2 linked regions of the Neurospora crassa OR74A genome follow. The protein of the gene in region 2 interacts with the protein of the main gene of each other region in a pairwise test. Links are inferred from orthologs where the notes say so. Each region holds a gene or a part of one and is shown on either strand. Other genes may lie near its edges. The genes, in order: NCU02263 and NCU00958.

Region 1 (4,373 bases), on a different chromosome or scaffold from region 2:
GGAGCGGGGACGGGGACGTAACGGCAGGAAAGGGAGGAAACGAAAAAGGAGGAGGAGGTGCTGCTGCTGCTGCTGCTGGTGCAACAATGGAAAGGCAGGAAGAAATAGAGGATGGGTTTGCAAAAGCGGTTGAGGCGCTGAGAAGGCTGAAGAGTCAGATGCCGGCTACGGTGGCGAGGATGGAGAGGGCGAGGGTTGCGGGCGGGTATGTTGTTGCTGGTGTTGGGGGGAGTGGTGTTGTTGCGGCGCCTGGGGAGGGGAGGTAGACAATGTTGTTGGTTGGGTTGGCGATACTCGTTAGTGCTGCGGGAAAAGAAAAGTGTTGGGTTTGTTTGAGCCGGCATGTTGGAGTTGTTGCTTGTTGGAACACTGTTTGCTTTCGGTAGAGAGGCTTTAAGCGATTAGTTTTTGGAGTTAGGGGCGTATTGGCATAGCCATGTCTATGGACGGGGTATCAAAGCAAATATGTGGTTACTTTTGGGAACTGAAATGTGCCAGATTTCTTGATGTCTTCACCACTCAAATACCAGGCAGATAAATTACAGGCCGCCAGAAACAAGTGATCTATTGTATATCCGTGTGTATACCAAAGAGACCACCTCCGACAAAGACGCGAGGACTCTACATACGCTAATGTAAAATCACCAGTGCTAAGTTGAAACCAGATTCACGTTTCCGATCTCGCACTTGAAAATACCCTGCAAACACAACCAACTCCTACCCCATTACGGCCACTAAGCTAGTCTGGCCGAATGATGACTTCATTACAACTGAATACTCTTTCATAGCGTATATAGACCCATGATACTTCATGTAAAGCAAAACCGCGTTAACAGCCTTCCCCTCACAGGCAAAAATGACGCCATATTCTGGGGGGACTCGGTGATGCTTTGCCCTTCGAACTGCCGTCTTTCTGACTGGAAGCCGTCGTCAAACATCCCCATTGCATCTCTTATGCGGCAGCGGGAGCAGGGGCGGTAGCCTCAGTAGCAGCGACGGCAGGCTCGGCGGCAGGAGCAGGGGCAGCTTCGGTCGCGGCAGGAGCGGCGGCGGGGGCGGCGGCGGGGGCATCAGCCTTCTTCTCCCACTTGGCGGGACGAGCCCACTGCTCCTCGCGCCAAGGACCCATGTCGCTCATGTGGCAGCCACCGGCGCACTGGCAGGTACCGCCAAACTCCTTGGGGAGGTTCTCAGGGGGCACCTGCCCGAGGAGCTCCTTGCTGTAACCGCTGCCGAGGACGTGGATCTTGGAGACGGTGACGGGGTCGAGCCAAGCCTTGATGACGTTCCAGACGGTGCTGAAGCCCCAGGGCGCGTTGATGAGGTAGAGCTTGCCGAGGCGCTCGGGGTAGTAGTTCTGCGAGAGGGTGGAGGCCTGCTTGACGTAGCCGAAGACCTGGGGGGCCTTGGTGAGGCCGACACCCTTCAGGTCCATGATGGTGCAGCACGTCTCGAGGAGGACACCGGCCTTGCGGGAGCAGGCGGGCAGGCGGGGGTCGGCAAGACGCTCGTACTCGACAGCGAGGTTGGTGAGCATGCGCTCGGCTGTTGTGATCTTGTACATGGCATTCAGATCGATCTTGCCAAGCTGCTCGATGTAAACGGGGCGGCCATCCTGGTGGAGAACCTCATGTTAGCCTCGTGTAATTTCTTTTTCTGGTCTCTATTGTCGCAGCCGATGGAATGCAAAATCCGGAGAGAACTGGTAGCCGTACCTTATCGGTCTTGTGGTAGTATTGAGGGTAGTACTTGGAAACCTCCTCCTTCTCGGGGTACTCCCACTCAGGGATGGTCTCGTCAAGCTTGGTCTCTGCCCTCCACTTCTCGCACTCGACGAACCTTGGGTTTGATGGTCAGCGCTTTGTTGTTCAAACTCGAGCGATACTGGGCAGATTTCGCGCTTACATTTGCTTGGCGAGGTTGACATCGAACTTGCGGGCGCGGAGGAAGCGCAGCTGTTTACGGAATGTGTCAGCACCTGTCTATCCCACTACTTTCCCCTCTTTTTGTTCTCCGTCTCTCCCACTCGAATCGAGCATCATATTGCATACCAGTGTAAGGGTGTCGAGGCGCTTGGTGTAGCCCTCAGACTCCAGCATCAGACGAAGCTGAGTGACCTGGGCCTGCTGCTGGGGAGTCAGATGGCCGGGGTGGCCCTCCTGCGCGTCGGGCGCGGTGGTAGGGTAGTCATAGTCGTCGTACTTGGGTTCAAGCTCCATGTTGGCGGTTGTGGTGTTGTAGAGGTCGTAGGTAGGTAGGTAGGCTGAAGCGGGGGGGTTGGGGTTGGGTATTATGAAGCTGAGGCAGGAGACAATGAAGAGACGACAATGATGTGTACAAACTTGGAAAGTAAGGTAGCGTTATAGGAGATGGATAACGCAGCTGAGTCGTGGCAAAAAGGGTTGATCCGAAGGGGAAAGGGTACACAGTTGAGTCTACAGAGTCAAGGCAGGCAGGCAGGCAGGAAGGGGAAGGAGGCCGGAGCCCGCCCGTGATGGAGATCGTTTAATTGGGGTTCCGTTGCAGAGGGCCGGGGCCCCTGAGATTCCGCCTGCCCCTGGGGGCCGCCTGCCCGCTTGGGACCCGACGTTGGGGCCCCATCCGCTAAGCTGCTTTCTGCTGTTGGCGCAGGGCACCTCATCCAGTATTCAGGTCGGGCCTGGTCTGCCGTTCGCCTGCCGCCGTACCAAACAGAGACAGAGTCAAAAGACTCGGGACCCCGTCTCCGAAACGAATGCCGTCGTCATGGCGGTCAAGACCACAGATGTGCTTCCTCACTCCCGAAATAGGGGTTTCAGTTTCCAGGGGGGCGGGGGTGGCTCACTTTTGACAAAACACTGACAGCGAAACAGACAGGTCAACGGCCGCCCGAGCGCCCTGCCTACATGCGCATTGGCCCCCCGCCCATCTGACTGTCTCGACTGGATAAGACTTGGGTATGTACACCACTTGATAAACGATGGCGACGATCGATCCGCGACTACACTACAACTCAACCAGACAAACTCGCCCCCTCAGCCACGTGATCTCCTCGGATTGGCTTTTGGTAACGTTGTAAGGCTATCTCGGTGTATGTTTGCGGTAGGTATCGTGACAATCTAAACAATGAGCCATAGCGTCGATCTCTCTTGTAGCCAAGTGATAGACAGTAACTTCCATCACAACCAAGAACCCGGGCGGGAAATATAAAAAGTCATCATCGTGCCTTGATCATGAGGCTATGGGCGTTGGAGGCCGCCAAACTCAAATTCTCTTTAATCTCTCGAGGTCGTAGCCTTGACCTAGGCCAGAGCGAACCTCATCTCGCCAGTCCCACTTCAGTCTCTCCAAAACGACAAACCGCTTGCGTGGCCCTTGTTCCTTTGTCTCGTGAACAAATGGCTACTGAGCGTAATACGACGCAGAATATCTGTGAGGTATCGTTCGCTATCATGTTGCTTTCAAATCAAGTCCAACTTACCAAGCCATCGTGAACCTCGTCTCACATGATCGCGGCCAGCAGCAACCTCGGCCGGCCTCCCTCTATTAGACATTCTTCAACCGTCGTTCGCTCCCATGGCATTTCGTGATGGTGCATTATCTCCTCGCTTTCTGTATTAGACCTAATCTCCTCTTCAACCGTCCGACGCCGTCTCGCTCTTCTTTCCTTTTGTCTTCTCCTCCTCCTCCTTCTCTTTCCTCTTCTGCACGACGTCCCAGTTGTACACTCTGGCAACCGCAACTTCCATCGTCTATGGCGCATCGTTCAGGTCAGTCAAGGTTCCAAGATCGGTAACAGAACTACCATCTTCGCGTTCTCCGCCCAACACGTACCGTAATCTGTTCTCTCAAGAAATCCAGATCCTCCTCGCAGTTCTGCAAGCTCTGCGTCGCCGCCTTGAGCTTCGAGTCAAGCAGCTGCTCGGCCTCCTCAATGGGATACGACAGCATGACGTTGGCGCCGAGCCAGATGTACACCTCGTCCGTGGGTGGGATCTTGGCCTGGGCGTAGAGAGTCTCGTTGAGCTCGAATGTGGTTTCGATCGGGTCTGATTCGTCCTGTAAAACAGACAAAGTAAAAAGGTGATCTTGTCAGCGTGTCTTGTTCGTGTGCGACCGTATCTTCGTCCATCCATCCATACATCAATCCACGTCCTTGTTGTTCATGCTCGTCCTTGACCTTTGGTTCTCAATTACCCTTTCCCCCCGCCCCGGGCGCATTTGGTATTGTGCCCGCTGTATAGCTAGCTGTATAGCCCGTATGTTCGCGTGCCCTGAAGACGGAGGTGTGTGTGCGTGTGTGCGTGTGTGTGTGTCGTACCTTTCTCATCTGCAGGAACCGCACCGTGTCCAGCGTCTTCTGGATATCCGGCATCTTATCCTTCAAGCCCACC
Region 2 (4,467 bases):
AAGTTCATTCCTCGGTGTCGTGCAGCGAGACCTGTGACTTTCTGCCAGTGATCCTGTGGGCTCCCTTCTTACATGCCCTGGCGCCGCCATTATGCCGTCGGGGCCCGTGAGCTGAGTGAGTGTTATGCTGTTTTAACTATTGGTTGTTGGGTCTTCCTTCTTCTTCTTCTTCTTCTTCTTCTTCTTCTTCTTCTTCTTCTTCTTCTTCTTCTTCTTCTTCTTCTTCTTCTTCTTCTTCTGCCGATGTTAAATCGGGTCGAGATGGGTCTCTTAGTAGATAGAACACAGAATTAACGATGACCTCGGTAATAGGACCCGGGTGTGGTGATGATTTGGTGCGTTTTTCTTTTCTTTTTTCTTTTTTTTTGTGGAAGGGAGGAAGGCAAGGCGGAAGCCACAGGGAAGCGGGTTGAAGAACATAACATAGGCCTGGGGCGGTCGGGAGAAGTACCCTTTTCAACCTTGCGGGGCTGACATGGGATAGAACGGGAGCGGTCTTTCAGGGGAGAGTTCAATCAGGTCTGTGGGTTTTAAGGGTTAGGATGATGATGAGGCGGGGTGGTGAGGCACTTGATAACGTTGGTTAAGGGTGAGCAGCGTCGCCGACGAGGTAAGATTCACAACATCGAATCAATATATGATTTCTTTCAATATCTCGACATCCGACAACATGGATGCTTTCTTCGATCCAGTGCCATACTGCTTTGTCTCTGAGACAATAGCCGTCGATGGAAGAGACATTTGAACGCCGCTGATAATGCTCCATAAAGATATGTTCTGCGTTGTTGAGGATATGATATGCAAAAAAAACATGTGATATGTAATATGAAGATCCCTAAATTGGTCGTTGCGGTTTCAGAATACAATGCGCTCTCCATCCCGGATGCTGCCAATAAAAAAGATATTTGTTTATCCCCTTTCTATGTCGCTTTGCGCAAAGGATTTCTGATGTTGTCCTGTATTCCCTAAACATCCTTCCATTCTAGAGGCGTGGCTTCGGCGTCGCCATGTCCGCCGGTTCCTCAGAAACAAGTACGACGACCACACAGATATCGTCCTCCTTGCCGCCGTGCCACGCGTCCTGAGGGTAGTACTTCTTGACCTCCTTGGCGAACGGGCCGTCCAACTTCGCGTTCATGCTCGCCGATTTGGCGGCGCTGACAATATGCGTGGCAATGAAGCTCTGCAGCGTGAAAATGGGCTTGTCGTCGCTGTCGAGCTTGGTGAAGGGAGTCAGGTCCTCGGCGACCTGGACCCCAGCGTCGGTGCCCTTCCAAGCGCCGAGCTTCTGCATTGTGCTGCTGACCAGACGGAGAATGTCCTGGTTGAAGAGGTTGTCCCAAAGACCGTCACTTCCAAAGACAACAACGTCTCCATGCTTCAGCTTGTGGCGGGTCACATCGGCATCGCGGGGCTGATCGATAAGCAGTCCCCCGCCAAAGGTCGCAGCGCGGAGCAACATACTAGGCGGAACCACGCTGAGCTGAAAGGGGGTGTTGAATGCGTGTGTCTGGGGTTCACTGGCGGTGTGCACCCCGTTAAGCCGGAGTATTACGAAGCCGCTGTCGCCAAGGTTCGCAACCTCCATCGTGCCGCTCTCATCCAACATGCCAACCACAGCCGTGCTGCCACCAGCCTTGATAGTCGGGTCATGGCAAACAGCCTCGTATCCCTTTTGCATCAGCGAGCGTGCCGTTAGCGGAGCATTATCACTGGTGTTCCCTTCACCACCAGCGGGCGCTGCTGGTCCGTTAGCCGCCGCTGATGCAATCTTGGTGGGCTGCCTGTCGTTCTCGTATGCGGCAGCCGCCATATAGTCGCAGAAGGCATGCGAAAAGTCCGCAGGGTCGACACCGCTGTCCATCCAGCCGCCCACACCGTCGGCTACGCCCAGCGCAACCTCGCCGGGCCTGTTCCCCACACGGCTAACGAAGAAGGCATCCTGGCCGGACTCTGGGCGCGCCGACTTTGCCTTCTTTCCGGGCTTCGACACTCGGTGGTAGGGGTTGAAGTGGAAGACGTGGGTGGACGGGTTGAAGGGGAGGCCCTTGCCGACGTACGAGGCGGCGATGTTGTAGACGAACTTGGTACCGGATCCGGAGGCAGGCTGCTCGGCGGCCGTCGAGTATGGAGCTTGTGTCATGAGCTGGTGGACAATCCGTCGTCCCACTCTCGGAGGTAATGTGCTCAGATATCGCATGCCGTCGACGGCGGGTCGGTTATAGTTACTGATATGGCTGAAGCGGTACGACGCGCTGCTGGAGGTAGGGCTGATGATCAGGGTCGAGGACCTCGCCGGCCGCAGGCGGGCTGTATGACATGGGGCCGACAGCATGCGGAGAGCGCTAAGGGACGCCATTGCTTGGGCGGACGGTCAATTGCCCAGGCTGCGGAGGGGGTTGGGGGTGGTGGAAACTCTTTCAATCGGCCAGGGGGATCAGGCGACTGATGGAAAGACGTGATTGGTATGCCCCTGGTGGTTGTCAATGAAGGAGATCGTGGATCAATAGTAGATAACGCTGTAGGTTTGGTTCCATGCGAAGCCCCTGTGGGCCCGCTGTGTCGAGAGAGAGGTTAGAGAAAGGAGAGGTGTCTGTAAATCATGATAGTGTCTGCGGGCAATCAACACACCACAGGAATCGCCGGCAAAAGCAAGCGGGAAGACTGCAGTGACGACGGGAACCCGACGCACCGGGCGTCAATCCGATGCGCGAAGTGGACTGGCCAGACATTGCGGATTAGATAGCGATGTGGTACAGGAAGAGGGTTGGGGTTAACAGTGCTGGAAAACGGAAGTATCAGCGCGCTAGCGGCTCGCTATAAGCCTACTTACTGGTAGCAACTTCTTAAGTTCTTACCAAGCTGGACGTGCCGTGGCTCCCGCGCAATCACGGCACCGCGCTGTAGAAACTGAAGTTGGGACATCTCCATTCGAAGATGGGTGAAACGCTCTGGCACATGTGAACAGGTAGTAGCAGCAAATCCAGGGATGTTTGGCGTATGTTGTGTACTTGTAATGGTTAGTACCAAGCTCCATACAGATATAACATTCATCCACTCTGTCATGTTCACAAATAGCGTGGCAGACGAGCCGGTGGTTCTAGAAAATCAGATATGTAAAATGAGCGACAATCAGGGATGGGATATGCTGTTCACAGCTATACACTGTCCGGATAGCATGGCTAGTGGGCATTCCCCATGGTCGGAAGTCGGGACGCTGAAGAATAAGTGGGCGCTGATTGGCTGATGTCTACCGAGGTGTTCCGGGAAACACAAGGCGGTTGAAAGAAAGTCATGACGGCCCGGGGGGGTCCAGCCAAACCCGCCCGGATGCGCCACTCACAGTAGAAGGCATCTCCGTCCACCTCACTGCTACATCTCTCACTCCCGTCGCTCCGCCTGTGAACCCGGTTCCGGTTATTTTAAACGTAGTCTGGCATTCACCTCATCCGCCAAGCGGCTTCCCTTGCTTGCTTTTCCGCATCCTCGTCTCGTCTCGTCTCTGTCTCGTCTCTCAGTATCGCACATCGCCGTCAAAATGGCCGCTCTCCGCTCTTCGTCCGCCCGTGTCTTCGCCGCTGCCTCCCGGCCGGCCTTCCGCCCCGTCGTCGCCGCCCGCGGCATGGCCAACCTTGCCGACGGTGCTACCCAGAGCCAGCAGGCCTCTTCGGAGCAGAGCCCCAAGCTCAAGACCTTCCAGATCTACCGCTGGAACCCCGACACCCCGACCGAGAAGCCGCGCATGCAGAGCTACACCCTCGACCTCAACAAGACCGGTCCCATGGTGCTTGACGCCCTTGTCCGCATCAAGAATGAGCTCGACCCTACCCTTACCTTCCGCCGCTCGTGCCGTGAGGGTATCTGCGGTTCCTGCGCCATGAACATCAACGGCACCAACACCCTCGCCTGCTTGTGTATGTCCATGTCGCAGCATCCACCGAGATATATGTCTCTCGGGGCGGACGGAATGCTTACTTTTCCAAACCACAGGCCGCATTCCCGCCGACAACAGCGCTGAGATGAAGATCTACCCCCTTCCTCACACCTACGTCGTCAAGGATCTCGTCCCCGATCTTACCCTCTTCTACAAGCAGTACAAGTCCATCAAGCCCTACCTCCAGAGGGACACTCCCTCCCCTGATGTAAGTGGATACGCTTTTATAAGAAGCTGCGCGCACAGATCGATGCTAACCTACGTCATCACGTGTAGGGCAAGGAGTATCGCCAGTCCAAGGCCGACCGCAAGAAGCTCGATGGTCTCTACGAGTGCATTCTTTGCGCCTGCTGCTCTACCTCGTGCCCCTCCTACTGGTGGAACTCCGAGGAGTACCTCGGCCCCGCTATCCTCCTCCAGTCTTACCGCTGGCTAGCCGATTCCCGTGACGAGCGCACCGCCGAGCGCAAGGACGCCCTCAACAACTCCATGAGCTTGTACCGCTGCCACACCATTCTCAACTGCACCCGCAC

What was found.
Region 1: the proteins of NCU00958 (region 2) and NCU02263 interact in binary tests that used the Saccharomyces cerevisiae proteins (3 or more experiments, as listed by UniProt). The link is inferred for Neurospora crassa OR74A from reciprocal best matches to the Saccharomyces cerevisiae genes PTC7 and SEC14.

The regions. Positions count from the first base shown.
Region 1 is NC_026507.1:3,137,980-3,142,352, reverse strand, and holds NCU02263 (Sec14 cytosolic factor), read right to left. Parts: upstream 2,920-4,373; 5' UTR 2,220-2,919; coding exon 2,052-2,219; intron 1,956-2,051; coding exon 1,906-1,955; intron 1,840-1,905; coding exon 1,716-1,839; intron 1,616-1,715; coding exon 953-1,615; 3' UTR 390-952; downstream 1-389. Other genes in the region: NCU02262 (hypothetical protein), read left to right, coding at 1-266; NCU02264 (prefoldin subunit 3), read right to left, coding at 3,615-3,731, 3,814-4,038, 4,301-4,373. UniProt on the Saccharomyces cerevisiae protein: Required for transport of secretory proteins from the Golgi complex. Catalyzes the transfer of phosphatidylinositol (PI) and phosphatidylcholine (PC) between membranes in vitro. Essential for viability and secretion.
Region 2 is NC_026501.1:6,576,982-6,581,448, reverse strand, and holds NCU00958 (5-azacytidine resistance protein azr1), read right to left. Parts: upstream 2,953-4,467; 5' UTR 2,859-2,952; intron 2,783-2,858; 5' UTR 2,360-2,782; coding exon 983-2,359; 3' UTR 441-982; downstream 1-440. Other genes in the region: tca-10 (succinate dehydrogenase iron-sulfur protein), read left to right, coding at 3,539-3,914, 3,991-4,142, 4,211-4,467. UniProt on the Saccharomyces cerevisiae protein: Protein phosphatase which positively regulates biosynthesis of the ubiquinone, coenzyme Q. Dephosphorylates and activates the ubiquinone biosynthesis protein CAT5/COQ7. Also dephosphorylates CIT1 on 'Ser-462', which leads to its activation.